Linked DNA regions of Stegostoma tigrinum. The protein of the gene in region 1 binds, or shares a complex with, the protein of each later gene. Links are inferred from orthologs where the notes say so. Each region holds a gene or a part of one and is shown on either strand. Other genes may lie near its edges.

Region 1 (15,274 bases):
ACCAATGGCCACTTCCATCTAGGAAATGAGCAACATAAAAATGGGAATGTTCCATTTGTCATTCTAATTTGGAAACATGCTGCTGTTCCTTCAGTTTCAGTGGGCAAAGATTCTGGAACTCCCTTCATAATGCCATTTTTGATCTATTGACAGCACACGGACTGCAATGGGTCCAGAAGTCTGCTCACCACCATTTTCTCAAAAACTACCAAGGATGGTAATAAATGCTGCACCAGACAATGAATCCCATATACCATGAACAAATAATGTTTAAAAACATGGCTGATTAGAAATCTCTCCTACTCTTAGCAGCTGGAATTGGGCATATAGGAAATATTACCAAGTGGATGCTCAACCTCTTCGGTTGCATAATGAATGCACCTCTGTTTCCCATTGAGCAGTGGAGTGGCATAATGTGTTAGCTTCTCGTTCACAGGTAGGGACAGTACTCCCTCACCAAAAGAAATCCTTTTACCACTCTAATCTAGGCATCTAATAATTCTCCACACCTTCACTCAATTGCCTACCGGCCTCACCTATTCAAAGCAAAACAAACACAACCTATTCAATCTTTTCTCTTGGTTAATGCTCTCCGACCTAAGCGACATTGCTAAAAATTTTCAGTATCCTGTTCGATATAATCACAACCTTTCTGTACTGCAATGGCATAACTTAATGCAATACGCTTCAAATATAAGAAAATGAAGGGGTAAGCTGTGGGTTTTTTTCATTTTTCGGGAAAAGAAACGATAGACAGTTGACCAAGAAAAAATTGTTTTGACTGTCGGTCTGTATGCTAGCTTTCTATTTTGCTAGGCAGGCTGATATGGAGTTAAGAGAGCTGATGGCAAGGCAAAGTTGAGAGTCCACAATAAAAAAGCTAAAACTAACACGGTACAAGTATCTATAATGCGATAGCAGGATTCTTATGTGGCCTTATGCTATGGAAAATCACCATTAAAATTACATTATAGAGAAATTTTTCTAGAAAATCACTACACCTGCACAGCAGAAAGTTTGCATTATCCAAACAGTGTCTGCTGTTCAATCGCATTACAGCCAATTCGTGTCAACAAAACACATGTATACTTAGCATAAATACCAGTACTTTACAATGTCACTAAACAACTGCACATACATAGGAGATATCAAGGTGTGGAGCTGGATGAACACAGCAGGCCAAGCAGCATCTTAGGAGCACAAAAGCTGATGTTTTCTGTCTAGATAATAAAATGTGAGGCTGGATGAACACAGCAGGCCCAGCAGCATCTTGATGCAGCTGGACCTGCTGTGTTCATCCAACCTCACATTTTATTATCTTGGATTCTCCAGCATCTGCAGTTCTCATTATCACTGATACAGTTTTCTGTCTAAACCCTTCTTCAGAATGGGGGGAGGGGAAGAGGGTTCTGAAACAAATAGGGAGAGGGGAGGAGGTGGATTGAAGATGGATAGAGGAGAAGATAGGTGGAGAGGAGACAGACGAGCTAAAGAGGCAGGGATGGAGCCAGCAGAGGTGAGTGTAGGTGGGGAGGTAGAGAGGAGACAGGTCAGTCCAGGGAGGACAGACAGGTCAAGGGGGTGGGATGAGGTTAGTTGATAGGAAATGGGGGTGCGGCTTGAGGTGGGAGGGGGGGATAGTTGAGAGGAAGAACAGGTTAGGGAGGCAGGGAAGAGTAGGGCTGGTTTTGGGATGCGGTAGGGGGAGGGGAGTTTTGAAGCTTGTGAAATCCACATTGATACCATCGAGCTGCAGGGCTCCCAAGTGGAATATGAGTTGCTGCTCCTGCAACCTACAGATGGCACTGCAGGAGACCCAGAATGGACATATCATCTGAGGAGTGGGAGGGGGAATTGAAATGGCTCACGCCTGGGAGGTGCAGTTGTTCAGTGCGAACCGAGCATAGGTGTTCTACAAAGCGGTCCCCAAGCCTCTGCCTGGTATTCCCAACGTAGAAGAGGTTATAACAGGCATAGCGAATACAGTATACCACATTGGCAGATGTGCAGGTGAACATCTGCTTGATATGGAAAGTCTTCTTGGGGCCTGGGATGGAGGTGAGGGAGCAGGTGTGGGGGCAGGTGTAGGGCTTCCTGCAATTGCAGGGAAAAGTGCCAGGCCTGGTGGGGCTGGAGGGGAGTATGGAGTGGACAAGGAAGTCACAGAAAGAGTGCTCCCTCCAGAAAGCAGACAAGGGTGGGGAGGGGAAAATTGTCTTTGGTGGTGGGGTCGGATTGCAAATGGCGGAAATGTCAAAGGATAATGCGTTGGATCCGGAGGTTGATAGAGTGGTATGAGTGGACGAAGGGGATTCTTTTGGTTGTTATTGCGGTGATGGGGTGTGAGGGATGAGTTATGGGAAATGCGGGAGACACAGTCAAGGGCGTTCTTGACTACTGGGGGGTGGGTAAGTTGCAGTCGTTGAAAAACTAGGACACCTGAGATATACAGGAGTGGAATTCCTCATCCTAGGAGCAGATGCAGCAGAGGCAAAGGAATTGGGAATAGTGGATGGCATTTTTTTCAGGAAGGTGGTTGGGAGGTGGTGTATTCTCGGTAGCTGTGAGAGTCTGTGGGCTTGAAATGGATATCGGTTTCTAGGTGGTTGCCCGAGATGGAGATGGAGGGGTCCAGGAAGGTGAGGGAGGTGTTCGAGAGAGTCCAGGTGCCTCCCAGTCTACAGCTACCTAAAATACACCTCCTCCCACCCACCTTCCTGCAAAAATGCCATTCCCCTATTCCCAATTCCTTTACCTCTGCCGCATCGCTCCCAGGATGAGGAATTCCACTCCCCTACATCTCAGATGTCCTCATTTTTCAAGGACCGCAACACCCCCCCCCCCCCCGGCAGTGGTCAAGAACGCCCTCGACTATGTCTCCCACATTTCCCGCTACTTATCCCTCACACCCCGTCCCCGCAATAACAACCAAAAGAATCCCCCTCGTCCTCACATACCACCCCACCAACTTCCAGATCCAATGCATCATCCTCCGACACTTCCGCCATTTGCAATCCGACTCCACCAATCAAAGACATTTTTCCCTCCCCACCCTTGTCTGCTTTCCGGAGGGACCACTCTCTCCGTGACTCGCTTGTCTGCTCCACACTCCCCTCCTGCCCCACCATACCAGGCACTTTTCCCTGCAACCGCAGGAAATACTACACCTGCCCCACACCTCCTCCCTCACCCCCATCCCAGGCCCCAAGATGACTCTCCACATCAAGCAGATGTTCACCTGCACATCTGCCAATGTGGTTTATTGCATTCACTGTACGTGTTGTGGCTTCCTCTATATTGGGGAGACCAAGCGGAGGCTTGGGGACCACTTTGCAGAACACCTACACTCGGTTCGCAATAAACAACTGCACCTCCCACTCGCGAACCATTTCAACTACCCCTCCTATTCCTCAGATGACATGTCCGTCACGGGCTTCCTGCAGTGCCACAACAAAGCCACCCAAAGGTTGCAGGAGCAGCAACTCATATACCGCTTGGGAACCCTGCAGCCCAATGGTATCAATGTGGACTTCACAAGCTTCAAAATCTCCCCTCCCCCTACCGCATCCCAAAACCAGCCCAGCTCATCCCCGCCTCCCTAACCTGTTCTTCTTCTCACCTATTCCCATCTCCCACCTCAAGCTGCACCCCCATTTCCTACCTACTAACCTCATCCCATCCCCTTGACCTGTCCGTCCTCCCTGGACTGACGTATCTCCTCCCTAACTCCCCACCTACACTCACCTCTACTGGCTCCATCCCCGCCTCTTTGACCTGTCTGTCTCCTCTCCACCCACCTTCTCCTCTATCTATCTTCGATCCGCCTCCCTCTCTCTCTCTATTTATTTCAGAACCCTCTTCCCCTCTCCCATTTCTGAAGAAGGGTCGAGGCCCGAAATGTCAGCTTTCCTCCTCCTAAGATGATGCTTGGCCTGCTGTGTTCATCCAGCTCCACACCTTGCTATCTCAGATTCTCAAGCAACTGCAGTTCCTACCATCTCTAACACATACATAGATATAGGCAGGGGTCAAGGATTGATGCTTCTGGAACATCAGGGATAGTGGTGTGGAAGTGGAAGGGGAATGTCATTTAAGCGAAATGGGGGTCAACTGCATCAAAGCTGCAGAGGGATCAAAAAAAAATAAGCCCGATTGGAGGGCGTCAATAATAAATTTTGGAAAAAATTGGCAGGGATTCAGAAGGCAGCAAAATGTTCAAGGATCAAACAGCATAATAAGGTGGAGGATGGGATGGTTATTAGCAAGGATAATGCGGTCAAGGTTTTGTTTTAAGAGAAATGATGGCAGATTTTTTAAAAAGACAGGAGGAGAGGAGGGGGCGACAGAGGGGGGTACAGACAGTGAGGCAGGCAAGCGTACAACACCAGGAGATAGAGCAATTAAAATGCTGGATAGCATGGGGATCAAGAAGGAAGTTCAGCAGTTAGTTGTTTAAAGGTATTAAGATTGAGGCAGCAAGGGGAGTCTCATGGACCAGTTAAAGAAAAAGTGCACGACAGGAGATAGGAAATAAGTTTGTTAGAGAAGTGATTTTGGACAAGGGCAATTTATTAGATGGTCTTGATTAGAGTGGCAAAGTCCATGAGTTCCCCATATTTATTGCTATAGGCTAGAAACCAGCTCAGGCACATTGTGACCCAGTTTTTATGACCAAAACATGACAGTAACTTCCAGGGGCCTTTCTAAAAAAATCTTCTCAACAGTGATAACTATGTTTTAACATGATAAATGCATTTATCTACTTCTGTTCTGTATAACTCTATTACTCTGTAATGAGCTGCCAGAGGAGGTGACGGAGCCAGGCTCAACCACAACATTTAAAAGGCATCAGCATGGGTATGTGAATGGGAAGGGTTGGAGGGAGATATAGGCCAAATGCTGACAACGAGGTCTACATTAGTTTCGGATGTCAGGTCAACATGGGCAAGTTGGAACGAAGCTTCTGTTTCCATGTGGTATAACTCTACTATGACTCTACTTTACATAGAAAATGTTTATTATTATTCCTTTTTCAATGAGCAACACCACAGCAGACCCAATGAAATTATTTCCTTCTCTTTTTATTCAGTTTCCATAGGTTTAAACTGGGGAAACAAAAGTTTTAACACAAGGGTCCTGAGTTCTTTTTTTTCATTAAGTTAGTTCCTTTAACTTTTGTTTTACTGCTTGGAGTGAAAGTTACATACCACATGACCATTAACACTAACTACAAGCTTTCTAGAATTCAACTGATATGGGAGGTCTACTTTAACTTAATCATTCAAATCAAACAAGAACCAACTACTTTGTAAATTACTTGATGCAAAAACTGAGTCCATTAATCCCAAAAGCAAATCAAAGAATTAATTTTTTTTTGTCTGTTTGTGGATTAAGTACACATACATTGCTACCAAAGTCTACCCCGAAACCGAAAAAGATCCACAAGTATAAAGCTTCAGACTCTATTTCAAAATGGAGGATTTTCAAACAAAACAGTCAAACATAGTGAGACAGTTCACAAGGTAGAATTCAAGTCACATCCATTCTTATAAAAATATTTGCAGTCATTTCAAATTAAACTTGGTTTACAAGTTCTCAAATATTTCTAGTTACACTAGATATTTGGATGTTAAATTTGAACATAAATATGAAGTAGAAGCAGAGTAAGAAAAGTTGCTCCAAGGACACTGTCCCATTTAATTAGATGATGGCTGATCTAATTACTCCACCTTCACATCCACCCCAATAATATTTCCGCCCCCTTACTTATCAAAAGTCTATCAACCTGAGCCTTATAAATATCCAAGGACCCTGTTTTTCACCACCCTGTCAAAGTCTGGAGAATCCATGACCTTCTGCTACTAGAAAAAATTCTCATTACGTTCCGTGTGTAATGAAAATCATTTCCAACATTCTGTAATAAGAATGTAACGCTCAGCCAATGGACAACTCTATGAATTGCTGGGTGGCAACATTTCACTCTGCCCAGCAACAGTGACACTATTTATAATGAGATTTTCAATTGATCATTTAATACAATTCCAGAGTCACAGGCTGATGGAGACAGACAAGAACAGAAATGTTCTACATTGTTAAAGGCAAGAGAACGACAGACTTTGCGTAGTAAAGGTTCAGGAATACCCTGGAGTAATTGCATAGCTCAGTGCAGCAACTGCTTAGGGAAGTTCTGGGAGACACAAGGGGCTCACACAAAATTATGCCCTATGAAAGTCAGGAAAGCTGAGAATGGGTTGAAAAGGCCACAAGCAGTATTTTGTTGGGAAAACTGTACAAGATTAGAGAGAATATAGAACTCATGGAAAAATCCAGTGGCAGTTTACATTTGAAGACGGTTGACAATGAAGAGCTGGAGTCATGCTTGTGACTAAGTTCTGGAGCGACATTTTGGTGTCCAGGGGAGAGGAATCTCAGGAAAGGAGAATTCACAAAAGCACATTCTGTAACTGAGGTAGGCTATGACTAAGCAGCCTTTGAGCAGGTACTTCAAAAACCAGATGAGCAAAAGTGAAGAATTGTGAAACCTTGTGAAGTTTATTGGATTTGATGATCCACAATGTCATTATCATCAGGTGCAGGGGAATTGCTGAGAAATCTATGGCATCAATCTTGATCCTATTTACTATCTGATGTGTGCTGCCTGGTGTAGGATCATAGTTTATTATCCAAAATCCTCATGTGATTTCTGAGTGTAGGAAAGAACATGTATTGCAGGGCAGTTGCTTCCCATATCTTTTCCTACTGTGAGCCCACTTCAAGGCTTGAAAACTGCTGAAAGCTTTTGGAGAAAACTTAGAACTGGAGAAAAACTAATAAAGCAAAGGTGGGGAAAGAAGACCTGAGAAACAGAGGATCCCCACAAGCAGTCATTGCTGCCTTGAAACTTGCAACCCCTATTCAGCTCCTGATCCACACTTGCAAAATGCACTACGGTTGCTACATTGTAAAGTTTATTGTTGCTTTTCAAAACCATAGAGTCTTGTGGCTTTATTCCCTTACTAAGTCGACTGCATCTTACATTTTGAGCATTTAAACATAAAGTTACTGATCCTTAACCAGATCTTAACATAAACTTCGGCAGTAGAGGCCAGAATTATAACAACTATGACAACACAAAAAGACAGCACCTACCTTTTGTGGGTTGATTTTCTTATTCTCGACATCTAAAATAAACAAACACAACGCAGCAAAAAAGTTAGTGAGTTTAACGTACTTTTCATAGATAAGATAATAAGATCAGTCATTTTTACTGGCTTTTATGACCTTGTGTGCTTTAGCCCTATTACTTCGCCTTACTTTGAAATTCTTGGAGGAAATGTTGAAGCCAAGGAGAATAATATTAAAAATCTTACTGATATCATGACTCTCATCTGATGGCTGTTTTTAATTTCTGCTACATCAATTATATCATTTGGTGGTTTATAATGTTGTAAACTGGATTACATAGGATACAGACAAAAACAGGCAATTCAGCCCAACCAGCTTGTGCCAGCATTATACTTTCTCATTTATGAGACAGCAAATGGTAAAAGGGTTGAGAACATATTTCAGCACTGGCCAACTATATCTATTAAACATGTTAATAAAATGTGACCATTTTCCAAATGTCACACTTCTAAAACAGATCTGACTGAATATACTTCTAATTTTAAATAAAACCATTAAATAAAGACAGACCTTGAACTTGCTTCAGGCAATTAACTCCTGATTTTACTTTTGTCCAAAGTTAACATTCTTAACCCACAAGTTAATACAAGGGATACTGAGTTAGATACTGATGGGGTCACAATCTTGGAAGGTGTCTGCATCTCAATTTGTCTTCCACTTTCTCCAAAAACCCACACCAGTTGAACTTCCTGCACTTTGTTTTTTCATACTTATCTTCATTATGTTGTTCCTTTAATGATACATACAGTCCTTGGGTCTTGCACGTCTTTTGTTCTCAACAGGTTTTCTTTTGCCTTACAAGTATGTCACCCAAACATCTTTTGTCCCTCTGGCTAATCACCTCACAGGGAATTCTTGAACTTTTTCTGTATACATCTAGGTATTTCAACCACAATACTTCCTGCCGTCAGATTACTCAAATATTAACTTTACTGTCATATATATACGCCCTGACTAGCTGAGATTTGCTAATATTCTTCTGAGTTTTTCACTTTTTTAATGTAGATTGAATTGTACAAATTGCCCTGCTCACCAAAAAGGACAGGAATAATACAAACATGCAGAAATTGTTGGAAAATCTCAGCAGATCCAACAGCATCTGTGGAAAAAAAGCAGAGTTAACATTTTGGGTTCTGATGAAATGTCACTGGATCCAAAATGTTAAGTCTACTTTCTTTCCTGCAGATGTTTTCGGCTTTGCTGAGCTTTTCCATCAGTTTTTGTTTTTGTTTCTGATTTCCATCATTCCTGGTGGAAAAGATATGAAAATCATCAATCAATCTCAAGCTTCTGCTGCTGGAATTTAGAATCATAGAGATGTACAACACAGAAACATGACTCTTCAGCCAACCAGATATCCAATATAAATCTAGTCCCATTTGCCTGAATTTGGCCCATATCCTTCTTAACCTTTCCTATTCATATACTCAACCTGATGCATTTTAAATGCTGTAATCATACCAGCCTCTAGCACCTCCTCTGGCAGCTCATTCCATACATGCACGACCCTCTGCATGAAAAAGTTGACCTTTAAACCTATGCCCTCTAGTTTTGCACTCCCCCACCCCAAAGAAAAGATATTGACTATTCACCCTATCCATACCCCTCATGATTTTATAAAACATCGATAAGGTCACCCCTCAGCCTCAACACTCCAAGGATAGTAGTCCCAGCCTATTTAGCCTCTCCTTTGAGTTCAAACCCTCCAACCCCAGCAACAACCTTCTAAATTCTTTCGAATTAAATTATAAGGCTCTAAGATGAATAACAGTCACACATAACAAAATGGGTATGTGTTACGGGGCTCTTCGCAGACGAAAACAGAAATGAACATCTTGGAATTAGCAAAACCAGGAGTCTCAGGAAAGCAACATATTCTGCGTCGCGGGAATTGCATCAACTTCCGGTGATAGAATTACACGAGGCCGCCCAACAATAATTCTTTCAGTAAAAGCTCAAGACTTTCTTGTAATTGTAATCTATCCCTTCTGTTGAATAACTTAAGAGTTAATCGAAGCTTACCCGGAGCAGAAGCTGCGCTCACGCTGCTACCCGGAACGCGGGGACACACTCTATCTCCTTCAGACATTCTATACACTATGCGTTACTGCGCCTGCGCATACCCCTCTCTCTGTCTCTGACACCTCACCCCACCCCCCCCCATCCGCGAAAGAGTGAAAAGTGGATACGTGCATGTTATCCACTATGTATGTTCCCTCTCGAATGTGGACTTACTGACATTAAAAAAAATAGAAAATGCTGGGAGTACTTAGGGCTAGCAGCATTTGTGTTGAGAAAATTGATATTTATGTTGCTGACCTTCCATTGACCTTACATATTAACAAAACAATGAACAACACTGAAGAGGAACAGGCCCTTCAAGCCTGCACCAACACATTTTGCCCTTCCATACTAAAACTGTCTTCCCTCTATTCCTTTCCTATTCACAAATTCATCCAGGACTCCCATGAATGCTGCTAGGCTACATCCTAATAAACCTTTTTTTTACCCTCTCCAAAGCTTCAACATCCTCTGATAGTGTGGTGACCAGAACTGTGTGTAATTTTCCAAGTGTGACACAACTAAAGTTCCATAAAGTTGCAGCATAACTTATCTATTCTTGTACTCAACACATCTTCCAATTAAGGTAATCATGCTGTAGACTTTTTATTAACTTATCTCCCTGCACTGCCACCTTCAGTGATCTGTGGGCCCACACACCTGGATCCCTCTGCTAATTAATACTCCTAAGGGTCCTAACTCACCCAAAGAATGTAAGAACTGGGTCAGAGATAACATAGGTTGGACCTGGAGAAACACAGCAGGCCAGGCAGCATCAGGGGAAGATTGACATTTCAGGTCGGGATCTTTCTTCAGAATTTTGAAGAAATGCCCAAAACTTTAACTCTGATTTTTTCTTTACTGATGCTGCCAGACCTGCTGAGCTTTTCCAGCAACTTCTGTTTTTGTTCCTGATTTACAGCAACAGTTCTTTCCATTTCTATTTGGTGAGATTTTAAAACTGGTAAATTCAAACCAGTTTTAAAATCTCCTAAACCCCTGCCTCCTTGACCTGACACAACCTGTCCATCTTCTCTCCCACCAATCCCCAACCACTCCCTTCCTTCACTCACCTATCACTTTCCCAGCATGACCCCCTCCTCTCTCTATTTATTCCTGAGCTCCCTTCCCCCTCCCCATTTCTGCGGAAAGGTCACGAGACCTGAAACATTAACTCTGTTTTTTCCTTCATAGACACTGCCAGACCTGCTGAGCTTTTCCAGCAACTTTGTTTCTGCTCCTGATTGGAAGCATCTGAAGTCCATTTGTTTTTTTTTATCCAGGCCCGAAACATCAACTTTCCTGCTCCTCTGATGCTGCCCAGTCTACTGTGTTCCTCCAGCTTCACACAGTGTTATCTCCTAAGGATTCTGACATTCACTACGTGATTTCCACCTGTATTTGACCTTCCAAAATGCATCACCTCACATTTGCCCAGATTAAACTCCATCTGCCACTTTTCTGCTCATGCCTCTGATCTATATCCTGCTGTATTCTCTGACAATCCTCCTAACCATCCACAACTCTATCAATCTATGTACCATCCTCAACCTTACTAATTAGACTATCTATGTTTTCCTCCAAATCATTTGTGTAGACCATGAACAGCAGAAGTCCCAGCCCTGATCCCTGTGGAACACCACTAGTCACAACTCTCCATTCTGAAAAACATCTTTCCACTACTACCATCTATGTCCTATGACTAAGCCAATTCTGTATCCAGAGATAATGGGAACTGCAAATGCTGGGGAATTCAAGATAACAAAGTGTGGGGCTGGATGAACACAGCAGGCCAAGCAGCATCTTAGGAGCACAAAAGCTGACGTTTCAGGCCTAGACCCTTCATCAGAAAAAATGATGAAGGGTCTAGGCCCAAAATGTCAGTTTTTGTGCTCCTAAAATGCTGCTTGGCCTGCTGTGTTCATCCAGTCCCACACTTTGTTATCCATTTCTGTATCCATTCTGCCCACTCACCCCAATACCATGTGACTTCACTTTTTGCATCAGTCTGCCATGAGAGACCTTGTCAAAGGCTTTACTGAAGTCCATACAGACAAAATCAACTACTTTTCCTTCATCAAGCATCCATATCACCTCGTCAAAAAACTTGATCAAGTTAGTGAAGCATGACCTCTCATTCACAAAACTATGTTGTCTATTACTAATAAATTATTTGCTTCTAAATGCATATTACTCTTGTCCCTGAGAATCTTTTCCAATAATTTCCCCACCACCACCACCACCTGAATGCAGACTGTTTTTCTCCACAAGCACTGGTATTTCTGGCATTTTTCTTTCATGTTCAGATTCTGAGCAACTACAGTACTTTGCTTTTGTATTTAATCTATATTATTGATTGGATGCGGGACAGTTGAAATATTTTCAAAACAGCTGCTGATAAAACTAGATGGGAGTGTTATAAGATGGACCCAAGGGGAGTTTAAGTGTTCTTGGATTGGCTAAGTGAATGGGCAAGCACATGGTAGATGGAATAAAATATGAAAGTGTGTAAAGTTATTTACTTTAATTAAAAAAAGGCAATATTTCATAAGTAGTGAGAAGCTGGTAAGTGTGGGGACCAGGATAACTTTATTTACGGGTCACAAAAGCTAGCATGAAGCAACAATCAATAAGAAAAGTAAACTGTATGGTGATCTTCATTTTGAGGGTATTGGACTACCAATATCTAACTGCAATTGTATAGAGGCTTGGTGAGACCACAATTCAATTATTATGTGTGGTTTTGGTCTACTTATCTCAGGAAAGGCATAAGTGCCAGAGATGGTGCACGACACTTCATCGCTAATTATTGTGTCACCAACAGAACTGGTTACATGGCTTTCTATGATTGGTCATTATGAAATACTATTTTTTTAGACAGTCTGTCAAAAGCAAGGATGATTTTCCATCACTTCATGTGGCCAAAGATTGTGTTGGCACACTTGAGTTTGAATTTCATTGCTGATATCTGCCCTTGATGAAAAGGTGCTTCCAAGGTATGAGAATTGATCCATCCAATAGCTGACCATAAATGTTGATAATTGGAGGACAGCAGTTCATGACAGGAGCAGGTTGGTAGAAAATATTTTCTGATCAATCTGCTAAGAGATATAATGACATACTTCTAGAGCAGATAAGATTTGAACCCAGGTTTTGTTATCTTTCAGATGTTTAGCCTATCGCCTATTCCTCTAGTATTCTTTGGTGAGTGCCTGGATTGGAGTTCAGCCACTGAGTATGTGCATATGCAGGGACATCTGTGTACTGCAGCTCCATAACAGATATTGGGATTATGGAAAATAGAACATTACAGCACAGTACAGGCCCTTCGGCCCTCGATGTTGTGCCGACCTGTCATACCGATCTCAAGCCCATCTAACCTACACTATTCCATGTACGTCCATATGCTTATCCAATGACGACTTAAATGTACCTAAAGTTGGCGAATCTACTACCGTTGCAGGCGAAGTGTTCCATTCCCCTACTACTCTCTGAGTAAAGAAACTACCTTGACATCTGTCCTATATCTATCACCCCTCAATTTAAAGCTATGCCCCCTTGATTGTCTTGGTTCTGGATTAGAAGTAAAGCCATTTGAATAGTTTCACGTTCATCATGGGCAGAAGTTTTATGCCACTCGATGCAGTTCAGAAGGATGATGGCAAATATCATTGAAACTTCCAGGATACTGAGAGCCCTCAATAAAGAGGATATGGAGAAGATGTTTCCACAAGTAGTAGAGAGTAGTACCTGAGGGCACAGTCTCAGAGTGAATGGATGACTCTTTAGAACTGAGATAAGGTGGAATTTCTTCAGCCAGAGGGTGGTGAATCTGTGGAACTCATTTCCTCATAAGGTTGTGGAGGCCAAGTCAGTGAATGCATTTAAGACATATAAAAGGTTCTTGTTTGGCAAGGAGATCAAGTATAGGAAGAAGGCAGAGAATAAGTTTGAGAAATGTATCAGCCATGACTCGAATTCTGCTCCTATATCTTATGGTCTTATGGCATGTATCATGGATATGTGGTGGATTGTTAAAGCAAGGAAGATGGAGAAGAGCATTCCTTGTGAATGACCATCTTCCAGTTTGCACACATATTAGGTCTGCGATGGTTCTGTCTGGGAGGATGAGGATCATGTTTTGTGTCTTGTCATGCAGGAGAATGCTGACAAATTTCTTCAGATGACCAAAACTTCAGTAGGATCAATTGTTACATATTTTGTTTTGTCTCATAACCAATGTCCAAATATCTCAACTCCATAACTCTGAGTGCCCATGCCTAACAACAATCAATCAATTATAGATCCAGGGACCTGGGTTCAAGTCCAGTCCTGGTGAATGTCTGAGTGGAGTTTGCACATTCTCCCCGTGTCTACATGGGTTTCCTTTGCACGTCCTGGTTTCCTCCAATGGGCCAAAGATGTGCAGGTTAGGTGAATTGGCCATACTAAATTGTCCATAGTGTATAGGGTTTGCAAGCTAGGTGAATTAGCCATGGTAAATGTGGAATTGTGAGGCTATTCGGATATGGTAGGGGGCCTAGGATCTGGGTGGGATGCTTTTTGAACAGTCAGTTCAGACTTGATGGGCTGAATGGCCTTTTCCCACACGGTAGAGATTCTATGAAAATGCTGTCTCGTACCTGTGGTTTGGTGGAGTCAAAGGCTAATGTGAGGTTGCGGACAGTCATGTATGAATGTTCCTGCTGCCCTCTGTGCTTTTGTTTTGGACTTGTATGAAAATCACGTCCACTGTGCCTCATATTGGGCAGACTTAAATACAGTGAGTAGCACAGCACTGACTCTGGAGAGTGGGCTCATCTATTGTGACAACATTATAGAATTTTAAAAGAGATAGACCGGTGGCCTAGATGAATAGGTGGCAGACAAATTTCAGTGTCAAAAGTATGATGCAATACACATTGGTACAAAGAACATGGAGAGAAAGTATAAAGTAAGGGTACTATTCTAAATGGTGTCCAAGAGCAGTAAGACCGGGGTGTAAATGTAAGTCATTCGGGTGGTAGGTAGGTAGAGAGAGTTATTGATTAAGCATAGAGAATTCTAGTCTTAATTAATCGGAGATTAGTGTATGGGAGCAGGGAACCTAAATTGTAACTGATTAGACGTTTGCTGGAGTATTGTGTAAAATTCTGTGTGTCCTACTTTGGGATGGATGTGAACATATTTCAGACAGCACAGAAGATGTTTACGAGAATCGTTCCACAGATGAGAAGCTTCAGTTTTGAGGATTGATTGGAAACATTGGAACTGTTTTCCTGGGAGAGAAGGCTGATGGGAGATTTGACAGAAGTTTCAAAATTATGAGGACTGTGGACACAGTAGAAAGGAAGAAACTGTTCCCACTTGTAAAAAGATCAAAAATCAGAGAACACAATTTTTAAGTGTTTTGCAAAGAAGCAAATGTGTGGTGATGGAAAAATCATCACGGATCTGGGTTTGAAATGCACTGCCTCACGATGTGTTGGAGGCACATTCAGGCAAGGCATCCAAGAGGGCACTGGATGATTACTTAAAAATAAATAATGTGCAGGGTTTTGTGGAACAGGCAAGACTTTGTCACCATGTGAAAATGTTCAGAGAGTTGGTGGTGACATGACAGCCAAATGGCCTCTTCATGTATTGTAACAACTGTGTTTATGGTGGAAGAGTATCTGAGTGTCTTTGTTTACATTCCTTCATGGAATATAGAGGATTGTTGGTTAGGCAACCAGAGGGTAGTTAAGAATGAACCACATTGCCGTGGGACTGGAATTATGTCAGGCAACACTAACAGATTTTCTTCACATAAGGTCATTAGTGAACCAGATGGGTTGTTATGATAACTGACAATCGTTATACAGTTGCCATTTGGGGATAACTTTATTGAAAACAAACTCCAGTATGTGCCATGAGATAGTAAGAATTGCCAATGCTGGAGTCAGAGATAAGACAGTGTGGAGCTGATGGCGCACCTTCTGGCCTGAAATGTCAACTTTCCTGCTCTGCTGATGCTGCCCAGCTTGCT
Region 2 (15,084 bases), on another chromosome or scaffold:
AAGTCTGTCAATATATTTGAACTTTTTTTTGTACATACGTACAATATACACACACATTTTATATATAAATAAAATGGATCACCAAACGGCATCAGGGTGTTTCTTAAGACACTTCTTGGAAGTCACATGCCTTAAACTAACTGATGGTCTTAATTATTGGATGTCACATGTATGGGCTTACGGCCGTCAGAAGTTAGTTCGTTTTTGAGATAATACGAACTGCTGATGCTGGAGAATCCGAGATAAAGTGTAGAGCTGGATGAACACAGTCTAGGCCCGAAACGTCAGCATTTGTGCTCCTCTGATGCTGCTTGGCCTGTTGTGTTCATCCAGCTCTACACTTTGTTATCTTAGTTTGTTTTTGATACTGTTTGGTGTTCAGTCGAGGTACAGTTCACTAACAGGTGCTACCAAACCAGAGAGTCCACTGCTATAAGAGATCAACCTCTTTACGTTGCCCGAATGAACTGCATCTGCAAAGGTCCCAGTGAGATCTGCCTGCATTTAGTGACTCTTGCCTGTGTGCACTAAACCACTGACTAAAAGCTATTTCAGCATTTCATACTTTGTCCTTCCTTTTCCTTTAAGAACCAACTAATAATTTAATAAAGAGAACCACATTAGTCAAATATTCTCTGCTGAGAAAATAATTTTCCTTTAATTGATATGCACGCATAGGGGTTATTTAGAGGAGCAAATACTTATGCTTTCATTCTGTGTTTTAATCCAATTTACACCTTGTTGAAAAGTCTCGTTTCAAAATAAAGCAATAATGTTGTTATCAGAGGAACCCGGTTGATGGATCTTTTACTTTAAATTTAATACAAATCAAGTATATAATTAACCATTTTCAGTAGCTGGATAAAGATTTTAAATTTATGCTGTGGTCAATGGATGCTCGGCTGAGACAGCAACTGTACACTCTGCAAATATTGGTCACAGAATCCTAGAATGCTTCCAGTGCGAAAAGAGACTATTTACCCCATCAAATCCACACCAACCCTGTGAACAGCATCCCACTCAGAACTAGTTCCCTACCCGCTCTTCATAACCCTGCATTTACTGTCGCCTATCTATCAGCCAACAGATCTTTGGCCTGTGGGAGTACCAAGTAGCAGCCACACATACACGGACACAATGTGCAAATTCCACGCAGACAGCCACCCAAGGCTGGAATCAAATCTGGGTTCTTGGCGTTGTGAGGCAGCAGTGCAAACCACTGAGCCCCAAAAACTCTAATCTATTTAACTTGAAGTTAATGGATTTAAATTATCTGATAATTTACATTTTAGGCAACAAATTCCTAACATTATTTGATCAAAAATTATGTTAATTTTAATGGACCAATGCTGATAATTATAAGCTTAATCATGCACATTTAATGAGCAACCTTTACAGTCAAGAATATTTCAAATTCAGCATGTGCATGTAAAGTACAAAATAGACTCTGCAATTATAAGCAATTGAAAGAATCTAACATGCATTAACGGTCCCTTTTAGCATATAACAATTTTTCATACCTTAACTGCTCCCATGGAGCAAGTGAAGGGCAGCCAAGTCACCAAATCAATAGTCTCCAAACACCAACAACCAAGACTGGTTTCCCAAAGCCTCATTTACAGATAAGAAGGTGGTCACTCTACAAAGAAATCTTTGATAACTGCAGTCTCACCTGAAGTCTCCAGCAGTGAATTTGGCTTCAGCTAAGGAAAAGGCCGCTTCCCTCATTACTTCACCCATCAGTGTTTTAGTCTGAGATGTGAAAACCAAAAATAATGCAAAATGTATCAGTCAGCAGTGCCACATTATACTGAAACACAGGGTTTGACTGTCTTGATTTCATTTTGCTACAAGGTTTTTTTTGTTTCATTGAAAATAAAATGCCTGGTTCATTTATGGATTATATAATAGAAATAGTAATTTCCAAAAATCTGCGAGGATGCCCTCATTTTCTGCCATTTGCCTTAGTTTAATTAACATATTCACTGTTTTCCGTGATGTCCTACAGGGAACACAGGGTCTAATCAGTTAGGCTGATATTGGTAATACGGAAAACATTGGAAGTCATTATGAGATTTAATAGCACAGAACTTTGAAAACTATGACAGAATTGGAAAAAGTTCACTATGGATTTATGAAAGGGAAATCATGCTTGACAAATCTTTTGGAACTTTACTGAATGCAGTTAACTTGGACTTTCAGAAGTTTTACAGTAAGACATTAGCGTGTAAAGTTAAGTCGTTTGGGACCGGGTGTAATGTACAGACATGGACAGAAAACCAGTTGTTAGATACAAGAAAGGGAACATAGTTGGAATTAACAGAACTTTTTTCCAAGTAGCAGCCAGTGACCAGTGCCGTACTACAAAGGATCAGCGCCTTTGCCCCTGACGCTCACAATATATATCCATGATTTAAATGAGGGAACTACATGTAATAATGCATGGCATTAACTGGGAAAGGGGGAGATCCAACAAGATCTGGATCCAGTTGCTGAAAGTAGGTATCTGGGTGCAGCAGGTGGTGAGACAGGCAAATGGTGTGTTGACCTTCATAGCAAGGGGACTTGAGTACAGGAGCAGGCACGTCTTGCTGCAATGCCACAGTGTCTTGGTGAGACCACATCTGGAGTAATGAGTGCAGTTCTAGTCTCCTTATCTGGCTATGAAGGAAGTACAAGGCAGGTTAAGCAGATTGATTCTTGGCATGACAGGACTGACATACAAGGAGGCACTGGATTGGTTAGGACTGTATTCACTGGAGTTGAGAAGAATAAGTGGAATTTCATAGGAACCTATTCGAGCAGGGCATGCCAGGGTAAACACAAGAAGGGAATCCAGAAGCAGAGGTCAAAGGATGTAGCCATTTAGAAATAGATAAAGAGAAATTCCTTTGTGCAGAGGGTGGTGAACCTGTGGAATTCTCCATCGCACAAAGCAATTGAGGCTAAGATATATATTTTTAAGAAGGATAGTTAGATCTAGTTTGTGATGGCTAAAAGGATAAAAGGGTACGGGGAGAAAGCACAAGCAAGGGCAGCATGGTGGCTCAGTGGTTAGCACTGCTGCCTCACAGCACCAGGGACCCAGGTTCGATTCTCGCCTCGGGCAACTGTCTGTATGGAGTTTGCACATTCTCCCCGTGTCTGAGTGGGTTTTCTCCAGGTGCTCCGGTTTCCTCCCACAGTCCGAAGATGTGCAGGGTAGGTGGATTGGCCATGCAAAATTCCCCATAGGTTCGGGGAGGTGTAGATTAGGTGGGTTATAGGGAGATGGGTCTGGATGGGATGTTCTGAGGTTCGGTGTGGACTTGTTGGGCCGAAGGGCCTGTTTCCACCCTGTAGGGATTCTAATTCTAATTCAAGCAGAGATGTATGATCAGCTTGATCATACTGAAGGGAGAAACATGCCCGAAGGGTAGAATGGTCTTCTCCTGCTCCTATTTTCTATGTTTCAAGATGACCTGCCCCCACAATCCTCTGCCAATGTGTGTGCGTGCGCGTTGGCCACAAAGAAGTGTGCAACTCATTATACCACCTTAGTGCGCATGCTCAACAGAAACATCTAATCAGGAAAACGGTGATGTAATGCCACACGTCCATTCAACAGAGCCGCAGGCTAATATTCTGGGACATGGATTTGAATATCACCATAACAGATAATGAAATTTGAATTGTGTTTTTTTAAAATCAAAATCTAGAATTTAATGCTAGCTTAATGGGAACTGTGTCAAAATAGACAATGTTTGTAAAAACCCATATTCACTAACAGCCTTTAAGAAGGAAATCTGCCATCCTTACCATGACTGGCCTACACTGTCTCTTTGGTACATAACTTTGTGATTAACTCTTAACTGAAGATGACCTAGATGGGCACACAGATCAAGGGTTCAAAGGCAATTAACAATATACAACAAATGTCAGCCTTGGTAACAATGCTCACACCCTGTACAACAGCAAAATACATTGAGCTGGGGGTCAAGACTGTAATCATCTATTGCATTTCTCGTGACATCCTACTTCACTAAACAAGATGATTCTGTTTCCCTGGTTGACAGCACAAAACATAGCCAAGATATCGTGCACATAAATAAAGTGTGGTTAAATGAACACAAGTAGAAATCAAATAGAACTGACAATGAATGAGCAGGACTGCTGTGTTAAAAACTGCAATAACATTGCTAAATGTGTGTTGTGAGCTTAGGAGAAAAACCAAATAGTAAGGTTTAGTTAAATTTATTATAATTGTTCCTTGAAAATAAATTTCACCTCTATAATCTTCTTCAGGATTTGTCTGAAGCGAAGTGTAAGGGCATCAGACTTTTTCTTCAGTAGGTTGCGACCAGTCTGAGCACCTTTCAAACGGGCCTTCATTATAGTTTGTGCCCTGTGGCAAATGCAAAAAAAGGTTAGGTTTACTTCTTCTGCCCACTCATTTCTTTGCATGAGCAGGAACCCTTCCACTGACAGAAAGACGTGACATTTTTGCTCCCAGTTTTCATTTTGATGTGTTAAGAAAAGGTCATTCATGTTTCTCTTTATAAAGATGGGAAGAGCCTGTTTGCTTCAGTGCACGTAGGAAGCATTTATGCTTCTAAAAAGAGGAACAATGAATGGCTTTAGCTTGCTAAATAAATAGATGGAGCGGTCTGGTAGTATAGTGTAATGTTCCTACCTCCGAGTTAGAAAACCCAGGTTTAAGTCTCACCTGCCTCAAAAAGGTGTTTTATAACAATGACCAAGCAGATGGACTTCAATTTTATTTTAAGAATGGATGAATAATTCCAAGTCTGAGCCAAACCTGGACAATAGTTCAATAACAGTTAAGGGAAATATTTAACTTGGGCCAGTTCACGACACAAACATACTTGACATCAATCATTCAATTGGATATCTTACAAATGCAATACGAGCACAACAATATTTAATATGACAGATTAACAACATGTAGAACAAAAGGATTTATTCCCTCCAAACCAAATATTTCAGGTCAAAAACCTTTTTCAATTTTCAAAACCTGTGTTCCAACAGCACCATTTTTAAATTGAATCCATGAGGTAGAGTTTTGCAACAAATATAACGGAGTTGTCCAGACTTAGTGAAAATTTGGCTATGGAAATTTGTTCAGCTACCTGATTCTATCACGTATTAAACTCCCCCAAACCAGTTCCTGGTGTCAATGTACACACAACTGTTTATACAAAATATTTATTCCAAAATGTTCTTTTTTTCTATTAAAAAAGGTCACTGAGGACATCAAGTAAAAGGAGTTAGATGTTAAATATGGCCCCTTTCACATTCTCATGACAGTATCAAAGCAGCTTGGACTTATTGTCAAAGCTCTTTCACATGCTATGAGCAGGTGCAGAAAATAGTCAAGAAGACTGACAGAATGCTGGCCCTCATATCCAAAGGGCTGGAGTATAAGGGTGCAAGTGTTATGCTACCGTCATACAAAACCTCAGACCCCACTTAGAGATCTGAGAGCCGACTTGGGCACCCCACCCTAGGAACATTGTCTTGGTGCTGGAGGTAGTTCAACACAGATTTATATGGATGATACCTGGATTTCAGGGGTTCAGTTACGAGAAGGGGTTGGACAAATTAGACCTTTATTCTCTAGAACCTAGAAAGTTCAGGGGTGATCAAGATGGGGTTTTTGGAACATTAACAGGGAAAAACAGGATAACCCTATTTCCAATAGTGGAACATTCTCAAATCAGTGTGCATAGTCTAAGAAATAGGACCAGGCCATTCAAGAGAGAGACGCTAGAAAACACTTCTGCACACAGTAGAAGGCTTTGGAACTCTCTTCTTCACATGGCAGTCAATGCTAATTCAACTGTCAATTTAAATTGGACATTGTCAAGGGATATGGGCCCAATGCAGACATATAGAGTTAGGCAATGGTCTTATTGAATGGCCTATTCCTGTTCCTATTGGAGTAGTGTGTTCAATTCTGGGCACTTTATTTAAGAAAGGATGCTAAAGCCCTGGGGACACTGCAAAGCAGGTTTACTAAAATGACTGCAGAGATAGTAGGAAATGCCGATAGTGGATAATCTGAGATAACATGGTGTAGAGCTGGATGAACACAGCAGGCCAGGCAGCATCAGAGGAGCAGGAAAGCTGGCATTTCAGTTCGAGACCCAAAACGTCAGTTGTCCTGCTCCTTTGCTGCTGCTTGGCCTGCTGTGTTCATCCAGCTCTACACCATGTTATCTTATATTACCAGATTGATAACAGGAATTAGAGTATCTAGACACAAGGCAAGATTAGATAAATTGCGCGTATTCTCCTTGAACAGAGAGGATTAAGATATGACGTTATTGAGGCGTTCAAAATTTCTGCTAATTAGTATGTCAATGGCTCAGTCACAATTTCAAGATTGTCAGCAAGGCAGCTAGGAGTGAGATGAGGAGAAACTTCTTTATTCAGTTGTTAGGATTTGGAATGCTCTCTCTGGGAGTGCAGTGGAGACAGATTCCATAGGTTTCAAAAGACAGATGGATATATATTTGGAAGACAGGAACTTTTAGGGTTTTGGAGATAGGGCTGGAGAACAGGACTAGCTGACTAGATCTTTCAGGAACTGGTACAGACACTATGGAATCAGTGATTCTATAATTTACTTATGGATAGGAAATTAAAAGACTACCTCAGATAACAAAGTGTAGAGCTGGATGAACACAGCAGACCAAGTAACATCTCAGGAGCACAAAAACTGATGTTTCGGGCTCTCTGACGAAGGGTCTAGGCCCGAAATGTCAGCTTTTGTGCTCCTGAGATGCTGCTTGGCCTGCTGTGTTCATCCAGCTCCACACTGTTATCTTGGATTCTCCAGCATCTGCAGTTCCCATTATCAAAAGACTACCTCATCTGCTTTTAGTGATTATTACAGGACACTAGCCAGAACTACCCGCATTTGTGAACTCGCAGACAAGCCTGAACTGTTATTCCATTCAAGAAACAGTACTTCCAACAATGCAGCACCCCTTTATTATTCTGCTGAAACACTAGATCAGTTACATTTCAGATCCTGCAGTACGGTTTGAATTCACCTCCTCTGTAGGTGTGCTACCACAGCATGTGGATGGCCACTTATCAGTATAGACAATTACTATATGCTATACTTTTACAACAATGCATCTGAGAAATTATTCCCATGTATGGCAGTTAAATAATTTTGGTAAAGGGGGCTGTGAAGATGGCCAACGTAACAATACCAACTTTTCCAAATCAGACAGAATGTAAAAGTTGGAAACAATGTGCTGTGGGTGAATTCCAAATTCTGGCAACATTAATTATCAATAAAGTATTCCACAGCTGCAGAAGAGCTCATAATTATTTCTACCATGTTTGAATTATTACCATTTCATAATCTCACAAGTATTGGTGTATTATATAGTATGTCTAATAAAAATTGTTTAGAGGACACCCATCCCTTATTGTCTACCTTTTTCAAAAATCAAAAGTCAATCAGCTTGAACATTGTAGCCATTGAGGGTGACATGTATTTCAAAAATCTTCACAATGCAGCTAAACAAACAAATGTTTAGTTTGTCTTTCCATGTTATTGTATTCAACACGTTCCTAAAAATTCAGCAATATGTAGTGATTCATGCATTTTTTGTAAGAGATTTCTAATTGCAATGCCAATTTTGATCCAATAATGGATTGCGAAATTTTGGAATCTGTCATGCAAATTGGGCACCGTTGCATTAATTATCTGTCTGTGTTATAATCTCCGACTGACACTCTCAATTTTTATTTAGTTTCGACTGTAAAAGTTCCTTTATTTGGAAATAGTTCGATGATTCAGGAAGAAATGGGCCAGCACTTTTAAACGCAGTTTCATTCCAACAGCCCTTCACCTGAGCCAAAATTTAAAATGCTAAACTTTAAAATTTCCAGGTCGGAGCACTAAAGCAAAAGTCAAACTTGAGATGGCTAAAAACCGTAATCAAAAATCTGACACTCACATTCGCGATGGGAAGATCTCAATCCTCTCCTTGCCTGACATGTTTGGCTATTTCTTGAGGTGGGGGGGGGGGGGGGGGGGAAGATCCAATAGCTGGTGGAAAAGATGAAAATCTTTGCAATCGACAAGGAGTGTCCCGTGACCTTCAGCAGGTTGTAAGGCTAAGCCCTAGTGGGGCTACTTCCTCCTATAATTTTCTACTAACTTTCTTCGGTCGACTCGAGCAAATTGTTGGTTTCCACGGATCAGCAGCTGGCAACATCACGTGACAGGGCGGAGGTGACCTGTGACCTCCCTCACCACCGGGTTAACCGTCGTCCAAATATTCTAGATGGGGATTTTAATTTTTTTAAATGAAGTATCTCTTAGTGTTGCTGTTTGCTTCGCCAATTCCATATCTCACCGTTTTATCTCGCTGTTATTAACTATCTACGATCCTTTACCAAGATGGCGGCGACACGTCGTTACACCCGGCTGCCCCTTCATTTCCAGTCCTCCGTCAATACTAGAGAGCGAAAACCTAACAAAGCTATCGTGCAAAAGCACAATGTGTGTGAGTCGCGTCTAATGAATGAATGCTACAAATCAAGGCCGCTCCGCGATATCGATCGCGACTTCCAAGGTTACTTGGAGTGACGTTTCACTCCGCCCTCCTCTCGGCTTCAGGTCGCAGCTCCGCGCTTGCGCAGAAGCGGGGTTTCTGGCGAAGGGACGTACTTGCGCTGCGCACGAGAGATTCTGCGGTGCAGAGATAGTAGGAGCTGCAGAAACGTTAGCTTTCCTGCACCTCTGATGCTGCTTGGCCTGTTTTCTTCAGCCAGCTGTACACCTTGTTATCTCAGATTCTGCGGTGCAACGTGAGGATAAACATTGCCGCGCCTGCGCAGAATAAAGCGTGCGCCGTAACAGTTACGGAAAACGGCGTCGCGCCTGCGTAGAAAAGTAATTGTGGGAACAACGGAAATAGCGCGAGTCGGAGTGTGGGCCTGAGGTGCTGACCGTCCTCGTTCGCAGCAGCGCTGCCTACAGATTCTGCTCAAGTAAGTGAGTCCCAGTGCTGTCCTCATATCGGGAGCCGCAGTCCACCCCCCACGCCACTGATTCGCTGGTTAAGGCGGATCTAGATTCCGGCCCAATGCCAGCATGTTTTATGGTCATGTCGGCTCCTCAACTCGGGCTTCACCTGCGGGCCCATCCGGGCCTCTCTCTCTCTCTCTCTCTCTCTCTCTGTGTGTTTTTTTTGTGCGGCCTCTTTCTATCACTCGTGCCATTTTTCACTCCACTTTAAAGCTACCACCTGGAATGTGGCAGCTTCCAGGGTGGTGATGTCCCCACTTCTGACCCAGCAGATCCAGGTTGAAGTCCCATCTGTTCCAGAGGTATTCCACGAACAGGTTGATTAGAAAATAATTACAGCCACTGTGATTAAACTGAGGATTCTTGAAGTTCACAGATGGAAGGTACTTTGATTGCATCATTCTTAAAGTGAAATCCCAAGGGATGAAAGGCCTTAATATTCACTTCGTGATCAAGGAATTTCTTTTCTATCTTTGCTGATTTAGGAATTGAACTAGGTTTGGCTTGAAGTTCATACTTCTGTCAGACTAGGTATTTGGAATTAAAGTTTTAAAGAGATCTTCATTATGTCACGAGTAGGATGAAGTATTCAAATGAGGTATGACTGCATTATTGCTGACTGCTTTTCAGTTTTCTAATTTCTTTGTAGATAGATATTTTTTTTTATTAGCCTTGTCCAAATCTGAATCCTTGTCCTGAAGCTATTTACATGAAATAAAGTACAGATGATCATTATTGAAAATAGCATTGAAATGAAAATTGTACCATGAAGTATCAGTTGTGTCACAAAAATGGTCAGATTAATTGTCAGTTTGAACTGATATATGCAATTAGTGTTGGCTGGAGGCTGCTGTTGATTTCTGATTGAAGTTTATTGAGACATCTGAAGCCTGCCTCAAAATATGTTCTTAGGTGTTGATTCATGGCTCCATTGTAATTTCTTGTTTGGTGTTGGAATAATTACATGTGCAAGTCTCCAATGGCAGATTGGAAACTTCCTACAAAGTGTCAATATCAAACTTTATTAGTACTGTTGATATCTTCTAATCAATCTGTTCAGAGATGTCATTCCACACATAGAACCTAGGCCCACACCTTGACTTAGAGGTAGGTACCTCCTAAGAGTCCCATTGTGGTACTTTATTTTAATCAAGCTGCTCAGATACATTATGACACACATCTGAAGGATTGAAGCTGGGCCTCCTGGCTCTGAAGTAGGGACAGTGCCTTCCACCAGGGTGTCCAGTCTTGTTTCTTTATATCCTGGGGAATTAATGGAATTCAATTCATATGCATGGTCCTATCAGCAAGTTGTCCCTTGGCTTCTTCTGTGTTGGGAATGGCAGTCTGCAGCCTTGTTTAATCAAGGTGAGACTCTGCCTCATGGGAGTAAAATTGAAACTGTGGGCCCAGTGGAAATCCAGCTTCTAGTGGCATCTTTTACATCTGAAACTTTGCTGTCAGAATACTCTGCCTTTTTGCTCCCATGGAAGCACCAGGGCTTGATCTGTTGTATTACAAGTGTAGTTTTGTTTTGGCATCTTGCACTGGCCTTGTGGGCCAGAAAGCTTGAATTATGAGGAAAGGTTGGATAGGCTTGGGTTTTCATTGGAGCAGAGAAGACTAAAGGGCGATCTCATTGACGTGTACAGGATTATGAAGGGCATGGATATAGTGGATAAGGAACCACTGTTCCCCTTAGTTGGAGGGTCAGTGGTGAGGGCAGAAGGTTTGAGAGATATGTGGAAAAAATCTTTTATCCATAGGGTGGTGACAGTCTGGAATGTGCCTCTTTGGAAGGTGGTAGAGACAAATTGCCTCCATGCTATAACAAGTACATGGTTCAGTACTTGGCATGTCAGAACGTTCAAGACTGTGGGCTAACCGCCAGTATTGGTTCAGGCTCGATGGGTTGAACAGTCTCTTCTGCTCTGTTTCATTCTGTGACCTCATGATTTGGTGTTCATCTTTTTGAGAATTTAGGCTTGAGAGTTCAGAAACATTTCCACTGAGCAAGAGAAGACTAAGAGGTTAAAATTATGAAGGGTTGCGAGGCAATTTGGCCAACAGCTGTTTTAAAATCTGGGTCAGTTGTAGGAGGACATCAATTGAAATGAGTTCGGCAAGTTAGGATAAACTTGCAGGAACTTGCCCTGCTCTGACACAGAGCAGTGAAAGCAGAAGCCAGTGCATCTTTTAATGGAAGGGAAAAGTATTAGAAGAGATGAGATTTTGAGGATAAGTGTAACTAATGGGATGATTTTCAATTATTCTAGCAGTAAGCTAGGTCATGAAAACACACCTTCATAGGTAAATTCCTGTGGTTCCAAATTCTCTCTAACTCTTTCCCTCACCATTAACAAAGAAATTTCACGTAAAAACACTAGTCAGTGCAATGTACAATATTCAAGCTTCAGTACTATATCGATAGAATCAGCTGAAATTTCACTGTTATCTCAAATCTTAAGTTGTTATTTAACTAACTCCTCCTAAATTCTTTCCCTCAGATCATAGGGGAAGTTTTATAGTTTTACTGACATGAATTGCTCCCAGTTGTGATAACCTAAACTTTTTCTGTTCTATCAACTTGGAAATTTCTATCCAAGCTCTTCTCAATTGGAAGCACCACACACTAAATTCTTCAGCTATAGTGATTGTTTCCTTGAACGAAAAGCTTGATTCTCCACCTTTAGAGAAATTGTTTTCTGTTTTGAACTGAACTCAAAAACTAAAACTGATGGCTTTCTGGTTAGTTGTAAACACAACAGTATAAATGTTTCATCTATTAACATCACAGGGATTCTGTCAGGCACTTGATTAAAGTCACACGTTGCCTTAATTCATTTATCTAGCTGCTAATCCAAATGAGTTTTTTGCCCTTTTTAAAATGATTATGTTCACAGAACTGACCCTGTTTCTGTTTTGAAATCAAAGTCCCAGAATTTAATATTTATATGAACTACACGTTTCATCGTACAAATCCCATTATTTTGCACTGAGCAGACAGCACATTGCTCTGTCTGATCCATATATGTTGATACAACCAGGAAGAGGCTTCTTGATCATTTTTCACCAGTCATTGAGATCATGGTTGATCTGTGATCTATTTCCTGCCTTTGCCTCACCTCCCTTAACACTTTTGATGAACAAAAGTCTGTCAGTTCCCATTTTAACATGCATATTTGATTGCGCACCAATTTCCAAATTTTCTCAATTTCTGCCACTTTGTGTTTGGAAATGTTTCCAGATTTCACTCCTAAGTTTTTATGATCTAATTTTTCAACTAGGCCTCTAAATCCTGTATTCTGCATCCACCAGAGATGGTGCATGTTCAAAAAAAACCAGCTTCTACCTATACAAATTGTAGGACATGATGTGCTTTTATGCTTTGATCAGCCAATGATTGGTTTCTTTCTGGTTTGTTTAGCTCAACTTCCTACTGATTGAACTCATCCCACTTCATGGAAGTGGGATGCCAGCATATTTTAAACATATATTCTGTGCCATTCCTTAATATGAAGTAATTCTGAACACCATCCAGAAGTATTCAGCAGAGTTGTAAACAAGGGTCTAGACCCGAAACGTCAGCCTTCCTGCTCGTCTGATGCTGCTTGGTCTGCAGTGTTCATCTAGCTGTATACCTTGTTATCTCAAACTTCCTGAAGTAACTGGATTAACTAAAAGAAAATTTTGTTTTATGCTTTTATACATTACTTCAACATTTCAAAAAGCACATTCTCTGGAATCTAAAGCATTCTGCAATGATCTTCTGAATTAAAGAAATTTTTTTAATATTGTTGGGTGTTGGTCTCCCTTTTTTTGTTCACTTGAAGTTACCAGGCTGAAATGAGCTATATGTACAGTTAAACTGAAATTGCGTGGTGGGTTTTTAAGATCTCTTATTGTTTTATCCTCTCCTCGATTATTCTTTTACAATTCTGTTGGTTCTGCACATTTTTACGCAGTCTAGCGATAATACATTGTCTGCTCTTTCTGGTGTGAAATACCAAAGTGTAATTTGATTTCTTCTGCATATTTCAGAATGCCAGCTCTTAGTTGTCGGTTTTACCAACACAAGTTTCCAGAGGTAGAAGATGTGGTGATGGTAAATGTCCGCTCCATTGCGGAGATGGGTGCCTATGTCAGCCTTCTAGAATATAACAACATTGAAGGCATGATTCTTCTAAGTGAACTTTCAAGAAGGCGTATCCGATCTATCAACAAACTGATTCGAATTGGTAGAAATGAATGTGTTGTTGTAATCCGAGTCGACAAAGAGAAAGGTATGCATGTTGTGCAAACTATCTTGTCATGTTTTTAGATTCAGGAATGGCTCACCATCAAGATGATAACTGGGACGTCAGCAGTAGTTCATTCTTTTTGTTTACTAGTCTCTGACACACTGGTTGTGCTTTTTCTTCTGAGGCATCTGGTGAGGGTTCAAAACCCACTGGGGAGCTTGAGGTCAAAGTCTAGAGTCCTGGTGCAGTGTTTCATTGCAATTTGGATCAATCTTTAAATGATGGCCCCAGCTGCTCTCTTGTAGATATTTCGGCTCCAATAGTTTTGGGAGAAGAGCAGGAATGTTCTTATAGATCATGTTTATCTCCTGGCAATTCTAGCAAGCATGTTTCTGTGTACATTGGTCTTTTGTGCCTACTTCAAAATAAATTGCTTGTTAGGCTGTGATGAGAGAGGTCTAAATAAATCAGTTATTTTACATAATATCAGCTGCTTGTGCCTGTTCCCATATTTACTTAGGAACATGTTTGGACCACAAAGCAAATTAACATTTGAAATATGATCTGGCCATCCTTGATAAATTCCCAAATCAAAATTGAATGGAGTATTTTCATTTTTTGATTAATGTACAAATGTCCTGTGTGAATTGCAACTTGTGATAGTTTGTCTTATTTATCTATGTGGTGAATCTGAGTCATTCTTATCAGCCCATTCTGAAAAGTCCATTTCCCTAACTACTGACTCGATCTCTCCACTTAATGGTAGAGAGGACTTGTAATAAACTGGACGACATGTTCAACTCTAAGATAAACTTCCACCCATTCACTTGGTCCCTAACACAAGGCTGGCAGCTTTCACTTCCATAATGGTCTGTGGTCCTGTTTCAACTTGTTTGCTGAAACCATCATTCATGCATTTTAATATTTCTACTAGTGTTTTCCTGTCTGGTCTCCCTAACACCAGTTGCATCAAATCTTGTTCCTCTGTCACCTTTGCGCTTACCTTTTTTTGGCTTCCAGGCTGGCAAAGCATTTTTTGTTTTAATTAAATTTTCATTCTTAATCCTGTATTCTATGTCTGCACTCTGTCTATCTCTGTAAATCTTCCAAACCCACAAATCCAAGAACTCAACATATTTCCCAATACTGGCATTCTGCCTGCTTGATATTTAATTGCTTTTAATTGTGGTCTCGCCTACAGATACCCTGGAATTCCCTCCTTAATGCTCACTGACTGTCTAGATCGCTCTCCTTTTTTTAAGGCAATTATTTAGCCCTTTTGCAACAGTTCTGAGATCTTATGTGATGTCACATTTTCTTCATTAATGTTCCTAAATGCTTTTAGATGTTTTATTAAATTGAAGATTTCTCATAAATGTGAATTTATTGTTGTTGAGAGCCTTAGTGCTCTTGCTTTAGTGTTCAGTTCATTTGATGTATGTAATGAAGTGAAGGGTTATTTCAGCTACACAACTTGGAAACATGATGGCATCCTAGTTTTATTTTCCTTAAACTGTTTAGATACCTTACCTACGTAATGGAATGTTTTAGGATTGCCTCTTACACCAAGAAATTGTGGCCATTGTGATTGATTCTATTGTAATTGTCCCATTTGATCTAGGTTACATTGATTTGTCAAAGCGCCGGGTTTCGCAAGAAGAAACTATAAAATGTGAAGACAAATTTACCAAGTCCAAGACTGTAAGCATTTTCTGTTGTTTTTAAAAGTATGTATTTAATACATTGCATGAATGAATTTAGAATTATAGTGATGGGCTCCTCAGCACT

Evidence for each region.
Region 2: the proteins of eif2b4 (region 1) and eukaryotic translation initiation factor 2 subunit 1 are in contact, whole or in part, in a cryo-EM structure (PDB 6O81), measured with the Homo sapiens proteins. The link is inferred for Stegostoma tigrinum from reciprocal best matches to the Homo sapiens genes EIF2B4 and EIF2S1. Residues at the interface, in NP_001029288.1 of Homo sapiens: Asn245, Glu246, Glu247, Arg250, Thr285, Ser520, Ser521, Asp522; in NP_004085.1 of Homo sapiens: Met30, Tyr33, Met45, Arg55, Arg57, Arg75, Glu79, Lys80, Tyr82.

Annotation. Positions count from the first base shown.
Region 1 is NC_081357.1:46,068,551-46,083,824, reverse strand, and holds the start of eif2b4 (translation initiation factor eIF-2B subunit delta), read right to left. Parts: upstream 9,315-15,274; 5' UTR 9,275-9,314; coding exon 9,208-9,274; intron 7,182-9,207; coding exon 7,150-7,181; intron 1-7,149. UniProt on the Homo sapiens protein: Acts as a component of the translation initiation factor 2B (eIF2B) complex, which catalyzes the exchange of GDP for GTP on eukaryotic initiation factor 2 (eIF2) gamma subunit.
Region 2 is NC_081363.1:69,338,146-69,353,229, reverse strand, and holds the start of eukaryotic translation initiation factor 2 subunit 1, read left to right. Parts: upstream 1-8,722; 5' UTR 8,723-9,018; intron 9,019-9,247; exon of another isoform or gene 9,248-9,438; intron 9,439-13,096; 5' UTR 13,097-13,097; coding exon 13,098-13,338; intron 13,339-14,917; coding exon 14,918-14,997; intron 14,998-15,084. Other genes in the region: atp6v1d (V-type proton ATPase subunit D), read right to left, coding at 1,673-1,752, 4,267-4,384, 7,980-8,020. UniProt on the Homo sapiens protein: Member of the eIF2 complex that functions in the early steps of protein synthesis by forming a ternary complex with GTP and initiator tRNA. This complex binds to a 40S ribosomal subunit, followed by mRNA binding to form a 43S pre-initiation complex (43S PIC).